Caenorhabditis elegans: one gene and its partners. The main gene of each other region encodes a partner of the protein of the gene in region 3 in a complex. Each region holds a gene or a part of one and is shown on either strand. Other genes may lie near its edges.

The links. The genes of interacting proteins can lie anywhere in the genome.
Region 1: csn-4 (region 3) and csn-6 share a complex: the UniProt entries of both Caenorhabditis elegans proteins name them as parts of the CSN complex.
Region 2: csn-4 (region 3) and csn-3 share a complex: the UniProt entries of both Caenorhabditis elegans proteins name them as parts of the CSN complex.

Annotation. Positions count from the first base shown.
Region 1 is NC_003282.8:13,299,268-13,305,475, reverse strand, and holds csn-6 (COP9 signalosome complex subunit 6), read right to left. Parts: upstream 4,653-6,208; 5' UTR 4,647-4,652; coding exon 4,385-4,646; intron 4,333-4,384; coding exon 3,932-4,332; intron 2,920-3,931; coding exon 2,578-2,919; intron 2,540-2,577; coding exon 2,410-2,539; intron 2,107-2,409; coding exon 1,946-2,106; 3' UTR 1,775-1,945; downstream 1-1,774. Other genes in the region: Y67H2A.7 (Peptidase M3A/M3B catalytic domain-containing protein), read right to left, coding at 1,351-1,437, 1,493-1,582, 1,629-1,724; kdp-1 (KASH (Klarsicht/ANC-1/Syne Homology) Domain Protein), read right to left, coding at 4,851-5,288; micu-1 (Calcium uptake protein 1 homolog, mitochondrial), read right to left, coding at 5,463-6,208. UniProt on the Caenorhabditis elegans protein: Component of the COP9 signalosome complex (CSN), a complex involved in various cellular and developmental processes.
Region 2 is NC_003282.8:192,825-199,015, forward strand, and holds the start of csn-3 (COP9 signalosome complex subunit 3), read left to right. Parts: upstream 1-1,917; 5' UTR 1,918-1,953; coding exon 1,954-1,960; intron 1,961-2,016; coding exon 2,017-2,142; intron 2,143-4,015; coding exon 4,016-4,285; intron 4,286-4,936; coding exon 4,937-5,247; intron 5,248-6,191. Other genes in the region: intk-1 (INTaKe), read left to right, coding at 1-492, 1,070-1,240. UniProt on the Caenorhabditis elegans protein: Component of the COP9 signalosome complex (CSN), a complex involved in various cellular and developmental processes.
Region 3 is NC_003282.8:1,083,000-1,090,316, reverse strand, and holds the start of csn-4 (COP9 signalosome complex subunit 4), read left to right. Parts: upstream 1-3,303; 5' UTR 3,304-3,309; coding exon 3,310-3,389; intron 3,390-4,007; coding exon 4,008-4,093; intron 4,094-5,548; coding exon 5,549-5,709; intron 5,710-7,283; coding exon 7,284-7,317. Other genes in the region: cct-8 (T-complex protein 1 subunit theta), read left to right, coding at 202-436, 1,030-1,383, 2,315-2,505. UniProt on the Caenorhabditis elegans protein: Component of the COP9 signalosome complex (CSN), a complex involved in various cellular and developmental processes.

The sequences.
Region 1 (6,208 bases), about 12 Mb from region 3:
AAATCAGTTGAGAACTCTGCGTCTCTTTTCCCGCATTTTTTGTAGATCTACGTAGATCAAACCGAAATAAGACACTCTTATACATCACGTGATTCGCCGAGGCACCACCGAAAGGAGAACAGGTGAAAAAGGAGAAAAACGAGAAGGAGAACACAAAACCACGCCCATTTTTCGTGCGGTGCGCAAGTTTTTTCAGAAACTTCTGCGAATTTTCATTTTCAAACGAAACAACGAAACTCCGAAATAACGCATTCACGATAAACAACACGCGATACGTTATTTCGGAGCTTCGTTGTTTCGTTTGAAAATGAAAATTCGCAGAAGTTTCTGCAAAAACTTGCGCACCGCACTGAAAAATGGGCGTGGTTTTGTGTTTCGTAATTCTCCTTTTCGTTTTTCTCCTTTTTCACCTGTTATCCTTTCGGTGGTGCCTCGATTCGCCCCGCCTTCTCTCGAACCAATCAGGAGAGATGGGCGTGGTCGAAGTCGCTGATTGGTTGGAAGTTCAAACAGTTAGAAAGTAGCCGAAAATATGAATTTTTCGGTTTTTCTAGATTTTTAAATTGTGGTTTTTCTGAATTTCAGACAAAAAAAAGCAAAATTCTTGTTTGAATTCCCATGAAAATAAGAACTACAGAGACTTTTTTGGTTTTTTTTTAGTATTTTGTAAGATTGATTTTTCTAGACCAAAAAAGCCAAAAAATTCACTTTTTTACGGTTTTAGGACCAATCAGAGACTCGCTCCGCCCACTTGTCGACCAATCAGAAGAAGTGGGCGTGGTGTCTAATTTTGGAGGAAATTCAAACTGGAAATTTCGCCAAAATTTAAAAATCGCATTTTTTGAAGTTTTTTTTCTTCTGTTTTTCCATTTGCTCTCCTTTTGTGAGACACCACGTTTTCAAGATCTAGTCGGAAACAAGATCTACGAAAATAAGATCTACGAAACGAAGATCTACGTTTTCAGGATCTGGCACCATGCCAACTGCGGTTTTCACAGTTTTCTCGAAGAAAATCGAAAAAACGATGCTCCGATATTACACGGCTCGCGTTGTTTATCGTTCAGAAAAGCTTTTTTTGAAATAAAAACTTTTGGAAAACGATAAACAACGCGCGATGCGTGATATCGGAGCATCGTTGTTTCGATTTTCTTCGAGAAAACTGTGAAAACCGCAGTTGGCATGGTGCCAGATCCTGATAGCGTAGCTCTCGTTTTCGTAGAACTCCAAACTGTAGATCTTGCTTTCGTAGACATTGTTTCCGACTAGATATTGAAAACGTGGTGCCTCAAAAATCGCGTTTTTTTTTGTGGTTCTTCTGAATTTGGGAACTTTTTTCGAAGCGAAGCTTACAAGATCCGCCGATTTGCAAATCTCATTCGAAATATCATCGACAATTTGAATAGAAGTTCTGGGATTCTGCGATGGGGTTAGAAGCTCCTGAAAATTTGAATTTTACAGGATTTCAATTGGATTTCAGAGCTCTCCTAAATACCTGAATAAGAGCATCAGTTGATTTTTTAACTGCCGCCGGTAATTCATTGAAACTTTCTGCGGTTTTCAAGTTTTTATTTCCAAATAATCCCTGAAGTTTTAAATTTAAAAAAATCCATTTTCTTGAAAAAAAAAACCGTTTCTTTGTCGACCTTCTCGCTTCGAAATGCTCTAGCCACCCAGCTATTCCGGCTTATCGTTCGACTATGCCGTAATATCACACTTCGAAGCATTTAGTGCTGTAGAAAAAATCACTATAGTCTAAACTAAACTGGATTCTATTGATATAAGGAACGTTTAACCTTTTTTTAATATCGAGAATCGGAGATCAGACATTATATTTCAGATAAATGGGGATGAAAAACACGTAAAGTGGTGTAAAAATTTGAGAAACAATGAAATAAATAAGAAAAAGTGGCATTTTTACAGTGAATTTTTAACAAAAAAAGGATATTTATGAAGCTTGACTCGACTCGTCCGACTCGTTGTGTGCTGTTGCAGATGGTCTTGGAACGTCTGGAATATAGTTGCTTCCCATATTTTCCTCTTGACCTGACAATTCCATTTCGTCCGTGGCGGCTTGCATACCAGAATTCCGACCGAGGAAGTTCATTGCTGAAATCAACATTTTTAATGTTTTCCAGAAGATTTTGAAATGAGGACGCACAAAAATGCTTATTTTTGAAAAAAAAATCGTTCCACGACCAATTGAATCGGCTAAATCGTAAATTTAGAATTTTCCTTCAGGTATTTTTTGTCTTTTTTTTTTGTGCTTTTTAATTAAATTTTAATAGTTGATAAAAAATGTTAAACCTCGTATCTGATGTCAAAACTTCTGAAAAATCCGCTTTCAAAAAATTTCCCCAAGAAGGTGAATTTTTCTGCGTCTTCATAATAATTCAGAATTTCCAAATCTACCTCTTGGCGGAACACGTCGTCTTCTCGATCCAGCTGGAGAATCAGCAGCATGAATTTTTCTCCGTGGTCCACTCATATCGTTCTCCAAATCTTCATCATCAAAATAATCGTCATCCTGGAACAAACATTCCTAAAGGATTTAGAAATATTCTAAATGCATTAACTTACATCTGCCTGCTGCGGACGACCGAGATGTTGTGATTTGAATCGAACCGGATGAGCCCAACGGCTTGTCGATTTTCCATGGAATCCATCGTCGGCGAGAAGATCGGCTCTTTGAGCTGACAACTTGTTCCACACATTTTGCATATTTCCGAGAAGAGTTGTCAATCTTGGCATCAGAGAGAATACGGTCATTGTTTTCTCTTCCTTTTCGAAACTATCAGTGAACTCAGCAGCATATCGATCAATGGTTTTGAGCTTTTGAGCAAGCAAGTTAGCTTCCTTCAAAATTTCAAAATTCGGTTGAAGTGTTCCGTCTTGCACTTTTTCGAGATAGGCAACGATTAGCTGAAAATTATTTTTTTGTAAAAAAAATTAAAGGCGGAGTAGTCGAAATTGTTTTATTGCTTTATTAGACTCAAAATTGTCTGAAAACACCGAATTTCATAATGAAACTTCTTGAAAATTTCTCAATAAAAAGTTATGACGGCTCAAAAAATGGCCTAAAATTAGTTAAAATTTGAAATTTGACCGTCTTGCAATGTTGCAGCGGCTGGAAACAATTTTTTTTTTTGAAAGCACCGTCAAATTTTGAGCATACAATGTCATTATCTTGCGTTTTTAACTCGATTTGGGTACTTTAAAGTCGATGGACGGCGAGATTTCGTAAAAAAAAAATTAAAAATATCGCCGTCCATCGGCTTTAAAATACATAAATGAAGTTGAAAACGCAAGATATTTAAATTTTATACTCAAAATTAGATGGAGATTTCAAAAAATTAGTTTCCAGCCGCTTGACAAGTCGGTCAAATTTCAAATTTTAACTACATTTAGGCTATTTTTTGAGCCGTCATAACTTTTTTTTGAGACGTTTTCAAGAAGTTTCATTATGAAATTCGGTGTTTTCAGTCAATTGTGAGTCTAATAAAGCAGTAAAACTATTTCGACTATTCCACTTTAGTTTGCTGCTGTATTGATTTTCATAACGAGATTTCTCAAAATAATATTAATAAACTTTTTAAGTATGTCAAAATTTCAAAAAAAAATAAGAGCCAAAACTGTCTAAATTCTGAAATTTCGCAAACTTTTCATGTCGCAGCAGCTGTTGTTACATATTTTAGTCGTTTAGCTCGCAATTACTAGTAAATGGAGGTACTTTTTTCAAACATTTTTTCCAAAATTAGGTGTCAATCGACTGAAAATGTGTCTTAAATCAACGAATTAATGCGAGATAAGATCGAAATATGCATTTTAGCGAATTTTAGGTATTATTTTAAAATTTTTGAACCGCTAAACAGCATTTTCAGAAGTCTCATTATGAAATTTTGTCTTTTTCTGGCCTCCAATTTCTCGAACGCACATCAACCCGATTCTGAAGCATGCTCATTGCTGCATCTTGAGCCTCCGCGTGTTTCTTTCCAACTGATTTCCCGTCTTTTCCATGTTTCGTTGATAACTTAGCGATATGATTAACACCGACACGTTCACTTTCTTCCGACACTAAAATCCATTCAATTGGCTTATGCTTCTCCTGATCAGTCACGTCTGCTTCAAACGCGAAAAGTGGAAGTTTACGAGTGGTTCCAGCAGTGATAGAGTTGAGTTTAAGGAAAAGTGTCGCGTCGATTTGTCCGGCTTTCTCTGAATTGCGAACCGCATTGGTGAGTTTTGAGAGAAGAGGTTTCTCTTCGGGAGTCAGATTATCATCCTCCCCAGCACAATAAAGACCGATAACTTGGAGCTCGGGAAACACTTCCAGATCTGAAATTTGGGGAAAAAAAACTAAAATGAGCAAGAACAGAGTAAAACTGACATTGATCTGCTCTTTGAAGGAGATGCTCCGTGCTAAAAGTAACCGGCTCAGCCATTTCTTCTGTCTCCATTTTCAGAACAAATGAATTGATCGCCTCGACTTGTCGTCCATTCTGCCGTCCGAGAATTGCTCCGAACACTTTTTTCACAGTAGGACCCTGTTGGACCTTTGTTCTGGAGTAGTGTTCGGACATTTGCATAATAACCAAAGGATGCAAAAGCACCTTCGAGCTACAGCTCCCGCTTGGTGCGTTCAATGCCATTTCTGAAAATTATTTCGAAATTTGGTTTCGAAATCGGTTTTTTTGTTTCAAGCCAGATAATGATTTGGAAATTTTGAAAATATTCCTGGATTCACTGGTGGAAAAACAAGCTAAACGGGAATTTTATTGATTCACATTGACATAAGTTTTACAGAACATAAAACTTCCTACAAAAAAGAGATAATGCAATCGAGTGGAAATTATTTAGGATCCTGGAGCCTTGACGTGGCTAAGTGGTGGAAGTGGAGTTCCGTTGACCAACGAGATGAGGTTGTAGATGGCGATGACAAAGCAGATGTAGGAAAGGACCTTGGCGATCTTGCTGACAGCGACATCGAATGGTCCAGCCTCTTCGGACTTCTTTCCTTCGAGAAGAGCATTGGCGTAGGTATCAACTCTTTTCTTGAGGATTGGATCGTAGAGTCCGTACTTTCCCATGACAAGGTTTCCGCATTTGGTTCCCTCTGGCAGACGTGGAAGGATCTTTCCTCCGGCTCCGAGTTGCCACTCTCCTGGGTTCAGTGGATCGAATTGTTCGAGGGTTGGTGGGGTCTTTCCGGCGTTGGTTGGAACAGCCTGGAAGCTGGCGGTTCTCATGGAAAAGCGAGCGACGCCCAAAGTCTTTCTCAAAGCCAACGACATGATTTTCCTGAAAAATGTGTTTTAAAATGTGGAGAAAGAAATAAAGAATAAAAAAATGAAATTAAGATAAGAAAAGTGAAACGAACACTTTTTATGAACATAACAAATATAATTTGTTAAAAAGAATGAAAAGCTTTATTTATAAACAAGTATTTACAGTGGCCATGGGCACCACTAATAAAATGGAAGAGGACTGGCGTGATAAGCTCGTTTTCCACATTCCAGAACTGCATCAAACAAACGGAAAAGTCCAGTATCTCTTGGTCGCTCTAAACCTCTACGCATTCTTCTCCTCATCACAGCAACCATTTCTTCATGTGATAATTTTCCATCCAAATTGTCATCGAACAAAGTAATCACCACATCCACAACGTGATCCGATAGAGGTATTCCAGTCACTTTGACCGCAACTCGTTGAAGTAGCTTCGCATCTATCGACATTCCAGCCATTTTATGAAAGTGTAGAGCAATATCTACATCGTCAATGTGATACAAAAACTCGAAAAATGCTTTCGTCTCTCCAAAACTGATTCCTTTCAAATTTTCTCCTTTAAATCTTCGTTTAACCCGCTTCAACATATGCTTCTGTTTCTTCTCATTAATTTGAGCATGAAGAAGGAGAAGTTGAGCAAAACTATCTTCGTTGATAAGTCCATCCGGGTTATCCAGTGCATCTCTCCGTTCAAATTCCATCTTTAAAATGTCGTGTTGTAGACGCTCTTGAAACTCGATAAATTTTTCAGACGACAAGCTCCCCTTTCCGTCTTTTCCAAAGAAATATGTTTCGAGAGCGGAGTTTGTCTCGACACGGAACGACTGGTTTGGCGTTATATGATCTCGATGACGCTGTCCTACAGTTGTTTGGGACATAATAAGCTGTTGAACTTTTGTGAATTCTTCTTTATCCAGCGCACCGTTCC
Region 2 (6,191 bases), 890 kb from region 3:
AAACGAAAGGATACTACAAACTCCATAACTAATTTCTTCCATCGATTCACGCGCGGAGACCGTGAGGAGAAGAAAATAGTTGAAGAGGAGGAAGAAGAGCACGTGGAGCGTCCCGAGAAGCTTATAAGCCCGGAATCCGAGGAAAAATGGTTTGAATCGAGAACTCTGGACGAGAAAGTGCTCGGACACGAAGGAGACGCAGATATGTACGAATGGGATCCAAATACAATGACAGAGACTCTTGTTCGGGAGCCTCCATCGCCTCTGGAGCCCAGTAGTATGATATTCGAGGAGAAAGGAATGCTGAAACTACTGGAAGATTTTCGAAATGGTGAGCTCCGATGGCTAGATGCTCCACAGATTTCTGCGTTGGGAAAAGTGAAAGAAGCGCATGAAGATGTGTCGAATATTCATTTACAAGTTTATGAAATTGAGTCGGCTAGGAGGAAAAAGAGAAAACAAGCGAGGAGTGTCAAGGAGAATTTTGAATTTGTAAGGAAAAATTCGGATTTCCATAAAAAAGGGATTAATTTGTGCAATTTTACGAAGAAATCGGGATTTTTGGAATGTAAAAAGCTCAATGTGATCTAGAAAATGTGTTTTTGGCAGGATTTTCCTTTTTTTTTAAATCCGATTTTCAGTCTATTTTCTAGCTAAACGACTCCGAAGATCTCTCAAAAAACTAACAAAAAATGCGACAGACGCCAGTTTTTTAATCTGAAAAAAAGCAGAAAGTCCCAAAAAACGGTCCCAGGAATCACAAAATATCTGTTTTGTGATATTTAGCGCTGCAAAAAATAAAAAAAACTCGCTGAATGCAATATTCCAATAGCTTTTTACCTTTAAAAAACTCAAATTTTCATTAAAATCATCAAAATTCTGAGAGCCTCACCCATAAATCCTTAGCCTCACCCAAAAATCATGAGAGCCTCAACCAAAAATCCTGGGCCTCAATCAAAATTCCGGAGAGCCTCACCCAAAAATCCAGAAAGCCTCAACCAAAAATCCAGAGAGCCTCAACTAAAAATCCAAAAATACTAGAATATACTAAAATTCCCCATATTTTCAGTCGGATTCGGATGATTCAGAAGAAGAACGAGAAATCGAACGATTATTCGAATCGATGAATACTCATATGATTGACATGCATTCTGCACTCGATACCGTACCATTTTACGACGCTTCTCAAAATCAACGCACTGAAAAAATCGATAACGACGAGGAGTATTTTTCGTCTTGAATCGATCATGTTTCCTGAATTTTTCACGCATTTTCTAATTTGAAAATTCTATAATTTTGACCCAAATTTCTTCGTTTCCAGCTAATATTTGCATTTTTTTAGGGCATTTCTCACAGTTTTTCTCGAAAAATCCCCGTATTGTCGATTTTTTTTTCGAAATTTTTCCGAGCAGGAAAATATTGTGAATTTCACCTGTTTTGAGGCACCACGGATTCAAGATCAGCTGGGATTTTGGATCTAAAATTTCCGAAATTGGCACCGTGCCAACGAATAAAACGCTATTTTTCTCGAAGAAAAGCGTGACAACGATGCTCCGATGTTACGCGTCGCGTGTTGTTTAGCGTATTTTCTATAAGTAATTTTCAAAAAAACAGCGTTTTATGCCTGACACGGTGCTTTTTCGGTGATATTTGAACTGAAATACCCTAAAATTTTCGTGATTCCCTCTATTTTCTAGCAAAGTTTTCTCTTTTCCCCAAATTTTACCCATTTTTCACTAATTTCTCGGTATTTTCCTGTACAAGCTCGATTTTTACTCAATTTCTATATTTTTCTCGGTTTCTTCTCTAAATTTTCTCACCAATCGCCATTCCCTGTGCAATTTTCTCTTATTTTTTCGTATATCTTCTCTTACTCGTTTCTTGTCACACATTTTCACGATAAAATGTAAATATTTTCAGATATCACAGGAAAATCCCATTCACAAAAGGATCATGACAAGTAAGTTTATTATTTAACCTGTAAATTTTCTAAAAAAATCGGAAAAGCTTTTTCAGCTTTTTTCAATAAGCTCTTCACGGGAGCCTCATCATCATCGTCTGCAGCAGCTTCTTCTGGAATGGATCTTGGTAGTATGGAGTCATTGTGTGCTGCGATCAATGAGCTTTGCAGTGAAAAACATGGTAATTTGGAGGGTTTTGTTGGAAAAAGAAGAAAATTAGTGATTTTCTCAATTTTTCAACTTGAAAATGTATTTATTCGCTGAAATTTTCGGGAAATTTGAATGATTTCATTCAAAAACCCATCGAAATTCTCGTAGAAGTTCGTGAAAAATTGATGAATATCATCTGAAAAGGGATCGAATTCCGAAAAAAAAGAGCCAAATTTTGCTGACATCTGAAATTTTTTCTTTGTCCCCAGTTTTCTTTGTCGCAGCCACTGGAATTTTACTTTTCTGAAATTATCACTCTTTAATCTAAGTTTTATTAGTTTATCTTGTGTAAATTCATTGATTGAGACAATTTTAAACCGTGAGGCATCCAATTTTTATCATTTTTGGATGTCTCTTCGCTTAAAAATTGTCTCAATCAATGAATTTACACAAGATAAATTACCAAAATGTGAATTAAAAGTGATAATTTCAGAAAAGTTGAATTACAGTCTCTGCGACAAAGAAAACTGGGCAAAATTTCTGATTTTTGCACTAATATGCCTTTTTTAATTTTGACCTCAACCAAAAAATCATGGTAGCCTCAACCAAAAATCATGGTAGCCTCAACCAAAATTCCGGAGAGCCTCACCCAAAAATCCAGAAAGCCTCAACCAAAAATCCTTAGCCTCAACCAAAAATCCTGAGCCTCAACCAAAAAATCATGGTAGCCTCAACCAAAAATCCTGAACCTCAACCAAAAATCCTGAACCTCAATCAAAAATCCTGAGCCTCAACCAAAAATCATGGTAGCCTCAACCAAAAATCCTGAGCCTCAATCAAAAATCCTTAGCCTCAACCAAAAATCCTTAGCCTCAACCAAAAATCATGGTAGCCTCAACGAAATATCCTGAGCCTCAACCAAAAATCCTGAGCCTCAACCAAAAATTCTTAGCCTCAACCAAAAATCATGGTAGCCTCAACCAAAAATCCTGAGCCTCAATCAAAAATCCTGAGCCTCAATCAAAAATCATGGTAGCCTCAACCAAAAATCCTGAGCCTCAATCAAAAATCCTTAGCCTCAACCAAAAATCATGGTAGCCTCAACGAAATATCCTGAGCCTCAACCAAAAATCCTGAGAGCCTCAACCAAAAATCCTGGTAGCCTCAACCAAAAATCCTGAGCCTCAACCAAAAATTCTTAGCCTCAACCAAAAATCATGGTAGCCTCAACCAAAAATCCTGAGTCTCAACCAAAAATCCTGAGAGTCTCAACCAAAAATCATGGTAGCCTCAACGAAATATCCTGAGCCTCAACCAAAAATCCTGAGAGCCTCAACCAAAAATCCTGAGCCTCAATCAAAAATCCTGAGCCTCAACCAAAAATCATGGTAGCCTCAACCAAAAATCCTGAGCCTCAATCAAAAATCCTTAGCCTCAACCAAAAATCCTGGTAGCCTCAACCAAAAATCCTGAGCCTCAATCAAAAATCCTGAGCCTCAATCAAAAATCATGGTAGCCTCAACCAAAAATCCTGAGCCTCAATCAAAAATCCTTAGCCTCAACCAAAAATCCTGGTAGCCTCAACCAAAAATCCTGAGCCTCAATCAAAAATCCTTAGCCTCAACCAAAAATCATGGTAGCCTCAACGAAATATCCTGATCCTCACCCAAAAATCCTAAGCCTCAACCAAAAATCCATACAAAATTGTTGAAAATTTTTTGTTTCATTATTAAATTCGGTGGTTTTGGACCAGTTGTAGTCTATTTAAGCAGAATACCCACAAACTGTAATCCCGCTTTAAAATAAATTTATTAAAAAATTTGTTTTATTTAAAAAAAAATTCAATTTAAGGATACCGTCAAGCCTATTTTTTCCAGAATTCCGCATTAATTTCCCGTATTTAGTTTCAGAGAATGTTGGTGAACTGGCCGCTGGAATTGTTCGTAAGAATAAAGAGCTTTTCGAAAAGAAATCGAACGATGTTGAAGCATTTTTGCTTCATTGTAGTCCAAATGTTGGTTCAGCTGCAATGGTTGCTGCAATTAAAGGAATGTTTGATACGTCGGCTGCAAAAAATAATGAAACTGGAACAGATCGAGCTGTTGAGCTTCTCAATCATTATGTTGATGAGAATAATTTTGTTGGAGGACATTTGAAGCTTGTACCTGAAATTAGTGAGTTTCTAGATAAAATTGAGAAGAAAAACTGGAAAATATGGATGATTTACATGGAATTTATGCGAAAAATCTAGATTTAAAGAGAAAAATGCAGCTTCACTTCGCCGAATTTTCCGTTTTTTTTTAAAGCAGAAAGTCAAAGACGTCGGATTTCAAAGGAAAATAAAAATAAAAACTTGAATTTAGAGAAAAGCTAGGCAAAAATAGAAAACTTAACTGAAAATTTCTCCTTCTTCCTATAATTCTTCCTAAATTTTATTTTTTTTTTCTCAATTTCCCTCAAAAATCTATAAATTTCAGACTGAAAATTAAAAAACTAAGAACTTCCTAATTTTTCGTCCTCAAAAAAATTCGAAAATCCGAATTTTTCCACAGAAAAAAGTTGTCTGAAAATGCATTCTTTAGTGAAAAAATGACAAATTTTAACGATTTTCTTGTAAAAAGTCACTTTTCCATAGATTTTTTTTTCACTTTTTGAATGGAGCAATTGAAAAATCTTTCAAGAAAAATTGAAAAATATTGGCAAATAAGCTCGAATTTAAAGAAAAACTAGGCAAAAATTGAAAATTTAACTGAAAATTTGATTTTTTTTTAACTTTTAAAATGTAATTTTTTCCAATTTCCCTCTAAAAAAAATTTTTTTTTCAGTTTTCCCACTGCTCCGCGACGTCGGCTTATATTGTTTGGAAAAGAAGAATAAACCAGAAATAGGACAAAGAATTATCATGAAAGCACTCGGATCAATGTTCCCAAGAAATGGCTCAAATGCTCCAAATGTGCTCACTTCTGCACACGGTGTGCTCTTTGCGTGTGCTCTTGAAACAAAGGATTATGCATCTGTTGAACCATTTATTGATCTACATGTTGATGAGATTGCAAATGAGAATTGTATTCAAGATCAGGAAAAGAGTGATAATAGAGAACGAGATTTTGGAGATGTTTTTCTTGGAAGAATGAAGGTGCATTATGGAAGAAAAAAGAAATATCTGGAAATTTGGATATTTTCAAATTTTCGTGTGAAAAAACCTTTAAAAATGGGTATTTTTTGTAGGAAAAAAAGTTAGAAACGTTATATGAAAATACATCATTTTTTGAGGTTTTTTACACGCAAATTTGGAAAAAAAATGTCTAGAAACTGATAATTGCCCCCAAAAACAATATTTTTCAATTCTTTTTGGATTAAAAACATTTTTTTAAAAACTGAAAAGTTAACGAAAATTATACATGTATAATTATATTTAAACGATTGTTTTGAATATTTACACTGGATTCTCAGTGAAAGCTTACGAAAACCAATTTTTTCCGAAAAATTCGGAAAAAAAGTGCGAAAAAACGCAAAAATAGGATATTTTCAATTTTTTTCTGTTCCAAAAAACTTTTTTCAAAAAAGCTTCCAAAACACTAAATTTTTTTAAAATTGCTTGGTTTTAAAAACATTTAAAAAGCTGAAAAGTTAACGAAAATTACAAAAATATTTTTATAAGTTAAAAAAACGCGATTTTCTGAACATTTGCATTGGGTTTTCAGTAAAATCTGAAGAAAACTATATTTTGAATATTTTTTTCCGAAAAATTCGGAAATAAGTGACAAAAAAACGCAAAAATGGGACATTTTCAATGTTTTCTGTTGCAAAAAACTTTTTTTTAAAATAAAATCTGAAATTACTAAATTTTCGAGCTCTTTGAGTTTTGAAATATTGCAAAAAAAACCTGAAAAATATGAAATGAAAATTTAAAAAATATATAAAAATTTGTTTAAAAAAAAATTTATATTAAATTTTAGTCTGGTTTGTAAATCCACATCAAAATGTTTTCTTGAATTTTTAAAAATAAAATTTGAAATTACTAAAAGTTTTCTGAAGTTTATAAATAAAAAAAACCGAAAAATATGAATAAAAAATGAA
Region 3 (7,317 bases):
GTGATTTTTCGGGTTGGAAATTCGGTTTTAATGCCAAAAATTGGACTTTCCTCAGCTTACAATATGATTTTCGAGCTCAAATATACATTTTTCAACAGAAAATGACAATTTTCAGCCAGAAAAATGTGATTTTCTTGCTAAAAATTCAATTTTTTACGCCCAAAAATTCAATTTTCCCTAAAAAAGTTCCCTATATTTCAGGTTGTCGTCGCCGCTGGAAAGTTCGGAGACATGTACCTCCATTTCCTGAATAAATACAAAATTATGGCCGTCCGTCTTACATCAAAATTCGATCTTCGCCGCCTCTGCCGTACCGTCGGAGCTCAACCACAAGCAAGAATCTGTGCTCCAGCTGTTAATCTGTTGGGACACTGTGATTCTGTGGCTGTTCAAGAGATTGGAGACGAAAATGTCGTCGTTTTCGATAAGAAATCGGGTATATAATGTGGAAAAACTGAGAATTTAGGAAATTTTGACCCCCAAAACGGGAATTCTCCGATTTTTTGTAATTTTTAGCTCTGGAAACCTTTTAAAAAAACGATTTGGCGAGTTTTGACTCAAACAAGTATGATTTTTACAATGTTAGACCAAAAAATTCGGAATTTTCGACGGTTTTCAGTCGAAAATTGTGATTTTCGTATAAAACTGCGGAATTTGATGAGCTTAGACCAAAATTTCTACCGTTTTTACCTGAAAATTGTCACTTTTTAATGAATTTTTATTTCAAAAACGGCCTGTTTTTGAAGATTTGGACTCCCACGAGGTGTTTTTCACCGATAATTTGCCATTTTCTGTGAATTTTCACTTGAAAACTGAAATTTCAGCTGAAAATTCCGGTTTTTTACTTAAAAATTTAGATTTTTGAAAATTTTGCAAATAAAACCTCAAAATTTGAGCTGTAAATTCCCAATATTTTGGCCAAAAATTTACCATTTCAGCTGAAAATGTTAAAATTATCACTGAAAAAGCCAATTTTTAGCCAAAAATTCAAATTTTCAGCTTCAAATCTCAATTTTCTCAAATTTTCAGAAACCGGAAAAGTCGCCACAATCATAATCCGTGGATCCTCTCAATCTCGTATTGATGACGTCGAAAGAGCTGTCGATGATGCTGTAAACACCTATAAAGCTCTTACAAAAGACGGGAAATTGCTCGCCGGAGCCGGAGCCGTCGAAATTGAGCTCGCCAAAGAAATTGAGTCGTTTGGAGCAAAAGCACCTGGTTTGGAGCAATATGCAATCAAAAAGTTCGCCCACGCACTCGAAACTCTTCCAAAAGCTATTGCTGAGAACGCTGGAATGCCAACCACTGAAACTCTGACAAAACTCTACGCGGAGCATGTTGCTGGAAAGAAAAACGCTGGAATTGATATCTGGAAGCGGGGTACGGCTTGAAAAAACCCAATGAAAGCACTGAAAATTCGAAGAAAATCGAATTTTCGGTTTAAAATCTGACAATTTAGGTCGAAAAATGACTGGAAAACTTTAATTTTTGACTGAAAATTCAAAATTTTCTGCTGAAATTTACCGAAAACATTTCTAACTGAAAATTTGAATTTTCACCGGAATTCCGCTGTTTCTGCTGAAAATCTAACAATTTCGGCTGAAATTCGCCGAAAACCTAAATTTTCCACTGTAAATCCAATAATTTAGGTCGAAAAATGGCCGAAAAACTTGAATTTTACCTGAAAATGTGCATTTTTGACTGAAAATGTGACCGGAAACATCAATTTTCTTTTGTTTTGCTTCACTTTTTTAAAGTTTTCTTCAGTTTTTGCATTAAAATAACTGATTTTTCACAGCTGGAAACCCTCACAAAACCCGGAATTTTCGCTAAAAATAGGCAATTTTCAGTCAAAAGTCAACTGAAATTCTTCCAAAAAACGTCAAAATTTCCAAAAAAAATCCCCCAATTCCAGACAACACATTCAATTTTTGCTAAAAATTCCAAAAAAAAATATCAGCAAACTGACAGAAAATTTTCAAGTTTTAATCAAAATTGGCCAATTTTCCTTTTGAAAAACCTCAACTTTTCGGTTCAAGCTCAGAAAATTAGCTGAAAATCCGAAATTTTCAACTGAAATTTCTTTAAATCAACTCAAAAATGCAAAAAATTGAATGAAAAAATCGAAAACTCAGCCAAAAATCGGCCATTTTCAACTCTGAAAAATGCCAAATTTTCAGGTAAAAATTCCTCAAAACCCCCCGAAATTTTGGCTAAAAATGTCAATTTCCAGCGCATAAAACTTGTAAATTTTCAATCAAAATTCTGAAAAATCCCGAATTTTAAACTAAAATTCCTTCTTTTTTTTCAGAAACAATGGACGCCGTCGTCAACAACATTTTCGACCTCTACGCTGGAAAACGACTGGCAATTAAGCTCGCCACAGACGCCGCCAGCACAATTCTCAAAGTTGATCAGATTATTATGTCAAAGCAGGCGACTGGAGGACCAAAACCACGTGGACCAAAGGCTCAAGATGAGGATGACGATGGAATGGCCTAATTTTTTTGTGTGCATTTTTGCTGAAAAATTGGGGAAATTTGAGTGAAAATGAGCTGAAAATCGATTTTTCAGCGAAATTTTAGACAATTTTCCCCCACTTTTTCAGATTTTCCCCTCGAATTTCCCCGCCGTTTCCCTGGGAATTGAGCTGAAATTGCAATTATCTTGAAAATTCGCTTAACAGTTTTTAGCTCATTTTCCACCATTTTTCCCCGTATTTTTTAAATTTTCCCGCTCTATATGCCTTCTCCGTATGATTTTTTGCAATTTCCCCGTTTTTATTGATTTTCGCTGGAAAATGAGCTGAAAATTCGATTTTTGCTTAAAAATTAATTTTTTTTTTTTAACGCGAAAATTCAGTTCCAAATTTACTCGATTTTGGTCAAATTTAGCTAAAAATTTGCATTTTTCAGCCAAAATTTTCCAGTTTTTGCCAGAAAATGGGCTTAAAATTGTCATTTTCTTCTGAAAAATCGAACTTTTGCCCCATTTTCAGCCGAATTTCAGCCTTTTTCCTCCAATTCTCCATAATTTTTAATGCTATCCCCCAACCCGTTCTGAATCTGAAAATCACAGTTTATGATCTTAAAATTGCGCCTTAAATTCTATAATTTTCAGCTTTTCCCCCTCGAAATTTTGTTTTTTTTTCTCGTTTTTTGCTTCACGTTGTGTTTGTTATAAAATTCTCCAAAAAAATCACAAAAAATTAGAAATTTTAAAGAAAAAATAGTCGAATTTCCTATATTTTTATCTGAAAATTCCCCCCAAAATTTTGTTGTAAAATTTCCACAATTTCAGCTGAAAATGAGCGGCGAAATTGAACGTTCACAGGAGGTGGCGGTCATTTTTGCACAGGATACCGATCACAAGGCTCAATATGAAGCGTAATATTTTTGGATTTTTGAGAAAATTTGGAGCTAAAAATGTGAAAATCTGGAAATTTTTAGCAAAAAATCCCAAATTTTTGTATTTTTCATTGGAAAATCTGAATTTTGTAAATTTTCAGCTGAAAAAATATGAAAAAAAAAAAACGATTTTAGCTATGTAGAAATTTTGAAAAAAAAACGAATTTTCACGCAAAAACATTTCCTAATTTAAAAAATTAGTAAAATTCGCGAAAAATTGAAATTTTTATCTTTTTTTTCCAGAAAATCTGAAATTTTCAAATTTTTATACTTAAAATCTGAAAAATTCTATTTAAAAACTCAAGTTTTCATTTATTTTCTACGAATTTTGAAATGAAAAATTCTTACAAATCCCGCACTTTTTTCGTTCAAAAATTGGAAAAAAACTAATTATTAGCTAAAAAATTTCCAATTTTTGTATCAAAAAACTCGAAAATTCTCAAATTAAAAAAATTTTTTAATTTTTTTGCTGAAAATCACGCTAAAAATTTCAGCTTTTTCACGTAAAATGTGATTTTCTGAAATTTCATGTAATTTTTTAGCTAAAAAGCCGAAATTTTCTCGATTTTCAGACAAAAAATTCCCCGATTTTTGCAGATTGGCGAAGCTTTGCAACAAATATTTGCCACAAAATGCGATGGGACGAGTCGATACGGCGGAAATTATTAAAATCATTGATACAGGTTGGAACACGACGAAAATTTCGGATTTTTCAGTGGGAATCTGGCTAAAAATTACGAAAAATGATGAGTTTTGGTGAAAAAATGGACGAAAATCGCTCAAAATTGGACAATTTGGTTGGAATCTGGCTGAAAATCGATAAATCTCGATAAAAATTGACGGAAAACGAGAACATTTTCGGAATTCCTGTTGAAATTTAGCTGGAAATAAATAAATTACATTGAAAAAAATTTTTTTTTGAATTTTTGGAGCTGAAAATTGGCAGAAAATCCGATTTTTTCAGGAAAAATCTTTAAAAATTTACATTTTTTTTTACAAAATGGACTCAAAATTAGCTTAAATCGCTCAAAAAAGGCTGAAAATTCCATATTTTAAGTGAAATATTTTAAGTGAAAAATATGGAATTTTCAGCCTTTTTCGAGCGATTTAAGCTAATTTTGAGTCCATTTTGTAAAAAAAAATGTAAATTTTTAAAGATTTTTCCTGAAAAAATCGGATTTTCTGCCAATATTCAGCTCCAAATCCAAAAAAAAAAATTTTTCAATGTAATTTATGAATTTTCACAAAAATCCAATTTTTCGTTCGTTTTCTGCAGTTTTGTTTTTTTTTTTTGAAAAGTTAAAAATTTCCTTTAAAAAACGCGAAATTTCCAATTTTTCACGGTAAATGTGATTTTCAGCCAGTAGTTTTCAACCGTTTTTTCGCGGGAAAAATTGAATTTCTAAAGATTTTCCTCGAACAATTCGATTTTTCCGGTATAAAAAGCGACCTTTTACCGATTTTTCACAGAAAATTCAGATTTTGAGCCTTTTTCACCCTCAGAAGCCAAAAAAAACCCCCAAAAATTGGATTTTTCTTGAAAAATTTGAATTAAGAAACTCAAATTTTCAAACCGTTTTTCCACGGAAAAAGTGCGTTTTTCAACGATTTTTCTCGAAAATTCTCAATGTTCTGCGTTTTTAAGCGATTTTCAGCTGATTTTTCACGAAAAAATCGAGTTTTCAGGGATTTTGATATATTTTTCTTGAAAAAATCGGATTTTCAGCTGTTTTTTCCACGGAAAAAGTGATTATTTAACTTTTTTTCCAGAATAATTGGATTTTCAGCCAATTTTAGGCTTAAAATAGGGCCTTTTAACGAAAAATGTGACTTTTAGGACATTTTTCAATTTTTCGCATAAAATTAAATAAAAATGGAATTTTTTTACCATTTTTTTTTCAAATTTTCAGGTTCAAAATAAAGCTTTAAAAAAGTGGAAATTTCTAGTTTTTAGGCTTAAAATAGGCTTCTTAGACGAAGATTTTCAAGCTTTTCGTTAAAAAAAACAGGAAAAAATTAATATTTGTATAAAAAAATTGAATTATCAGCTAAAAATTACAATTTTTGCACTGTTTCAGTGCAAAATTTGTATTTCTTTTAGAATTTTTAGCAGCCTATAACCCCAAAAATGTTTGCAGTAATCGCATTGGAGACTGGAAGTATGGTTGTATCACGTCAATTTGTATCACTTATCACTGAAAGATTGGATAATCAACATTTGGAATCAGAATGTGTTAAGGCTATTTCAGAAGGAATTTTGGCGATTATTAAGACTCGAACCATCTCTTATGAGGATCAGGTACTTGGAAATGCACTGCAACTTTTTCCTCACGAGGGACGAGGAACAGTGGTTTCTAGGCCATGGCCGAGGGGCCGACAAGTTTCAGCGGCCATTTATCTTGCTTTGTTTTCCGCCTGTTTTCTTTCGTTTTTCACAGCTTTTTCCCGTTTTTTCTTATTAAAACTGATAAATAAATATTTTTTGCAGATGATAAAACAATTTCGAAGTAAAAAAATTATGTATTCAGTGGGCAAGCAGCGGTGAAAGTGGGCATTGTAATATGATGGATTACGGGAATACAAAACCTAAATTTTTTCTGAAACATGATACATATGATGCTTAGATGCTGAAGCTACCTGATTTTCATATCAAGACCGCTGAAAAAGTTTTGAGGTTTCCAAAATTCAACTTTTTGTGCGAAAATCTCGACTTTTTCACCAAAAAAGTTGAATTGTGGAAATCTCAAAACTTTTTCAGCGGTCTCGTTATGAAAATCAGGTAATTTCAGCATCTAAGCATCATATGTATCATGTTTCAGAAAAAGGTTAGGTTTTGTATTCCCGTAATCCATCATATTGCATTGACCACTTTCACCGCTGCTTGCCCACTGAATACATAATTTTTTTACTTGGAAATTGTTTTAGCATCTGCAAAAAATATTGATTTATCAGTTTTAATAAGAAAAAATGGGACAAAGCTGTGAAAAACAAAAGAAAACAGGCGGAAAACAAAGCAAGATAAATGGCCGCTGAAACTTGTCGGCCCCTCGGCCTTGGCCTAGAAACCACTTTTCCTCGTCCCTCGTGAGGACAAAGTTGCAGTGAAATGGAGCATTTTGCAGAAAAAATTGAAAAATTTGAAGAAAAACGAACGATTTTATGGGATTCTGCGGAAAATTTGAAGATATTTGAAAAAAAAAATTCGGAATTTTTGGAGTTTTTTAGCAGAAATTCAAAAAAATTTCGATTTAAAATTCAGGATTTTATGTGATTTTTCGGAAAAATTTTCAATCGTTTTTTTTTTCCGATATTTTGGGCTTTAGGCTCAGGCTCAGGCTTAACCCCTTATTTATCGAGAAAAACGTTATAAAATTGAAGAAAAATTGAAGAAAAAGGGCAAAATTCTGGAAAATATCGAAACTCTTTTCAGTTTAAAAATAAAAAATTATTTCACCTAGAAAAATCTAGAAAAATTGAGTTTTCAATGAAAAATTGTGAAAAATGGAGGGAAAAAAGTAGAATTTGGCGTAAAATTCTAAAAGAAATACAAATTTTGCACTGAAAAAGTGCAAAAATTGTAATTTTTAGCTGATAATTCAATTTTTTTATACAAATATTAATTTTTTCCTGTTTTTTTTTAACGAAAAGCTTGAAAATTTTCGTCTAAGAAGCCTATTTTAAGCCTAAAAACTAGAAATTTCCACTTTTTTAAAGCTTTTTATTTTGAAACTGAAAATTTGAAAAAAAAAAGGCAAAAATTCCATTTTTATTTAATTTTATGCGAAAAATTGAAAAAAATTGGAAAAATGTCCTAAAAGTCACACATTTTTCGTTAAAAGACCCTTTTTTAAGCCTAAAATCCCAATTTTTCAGGTCTGTATCCTCCGCCTCATGCTTGCAAGCCTCT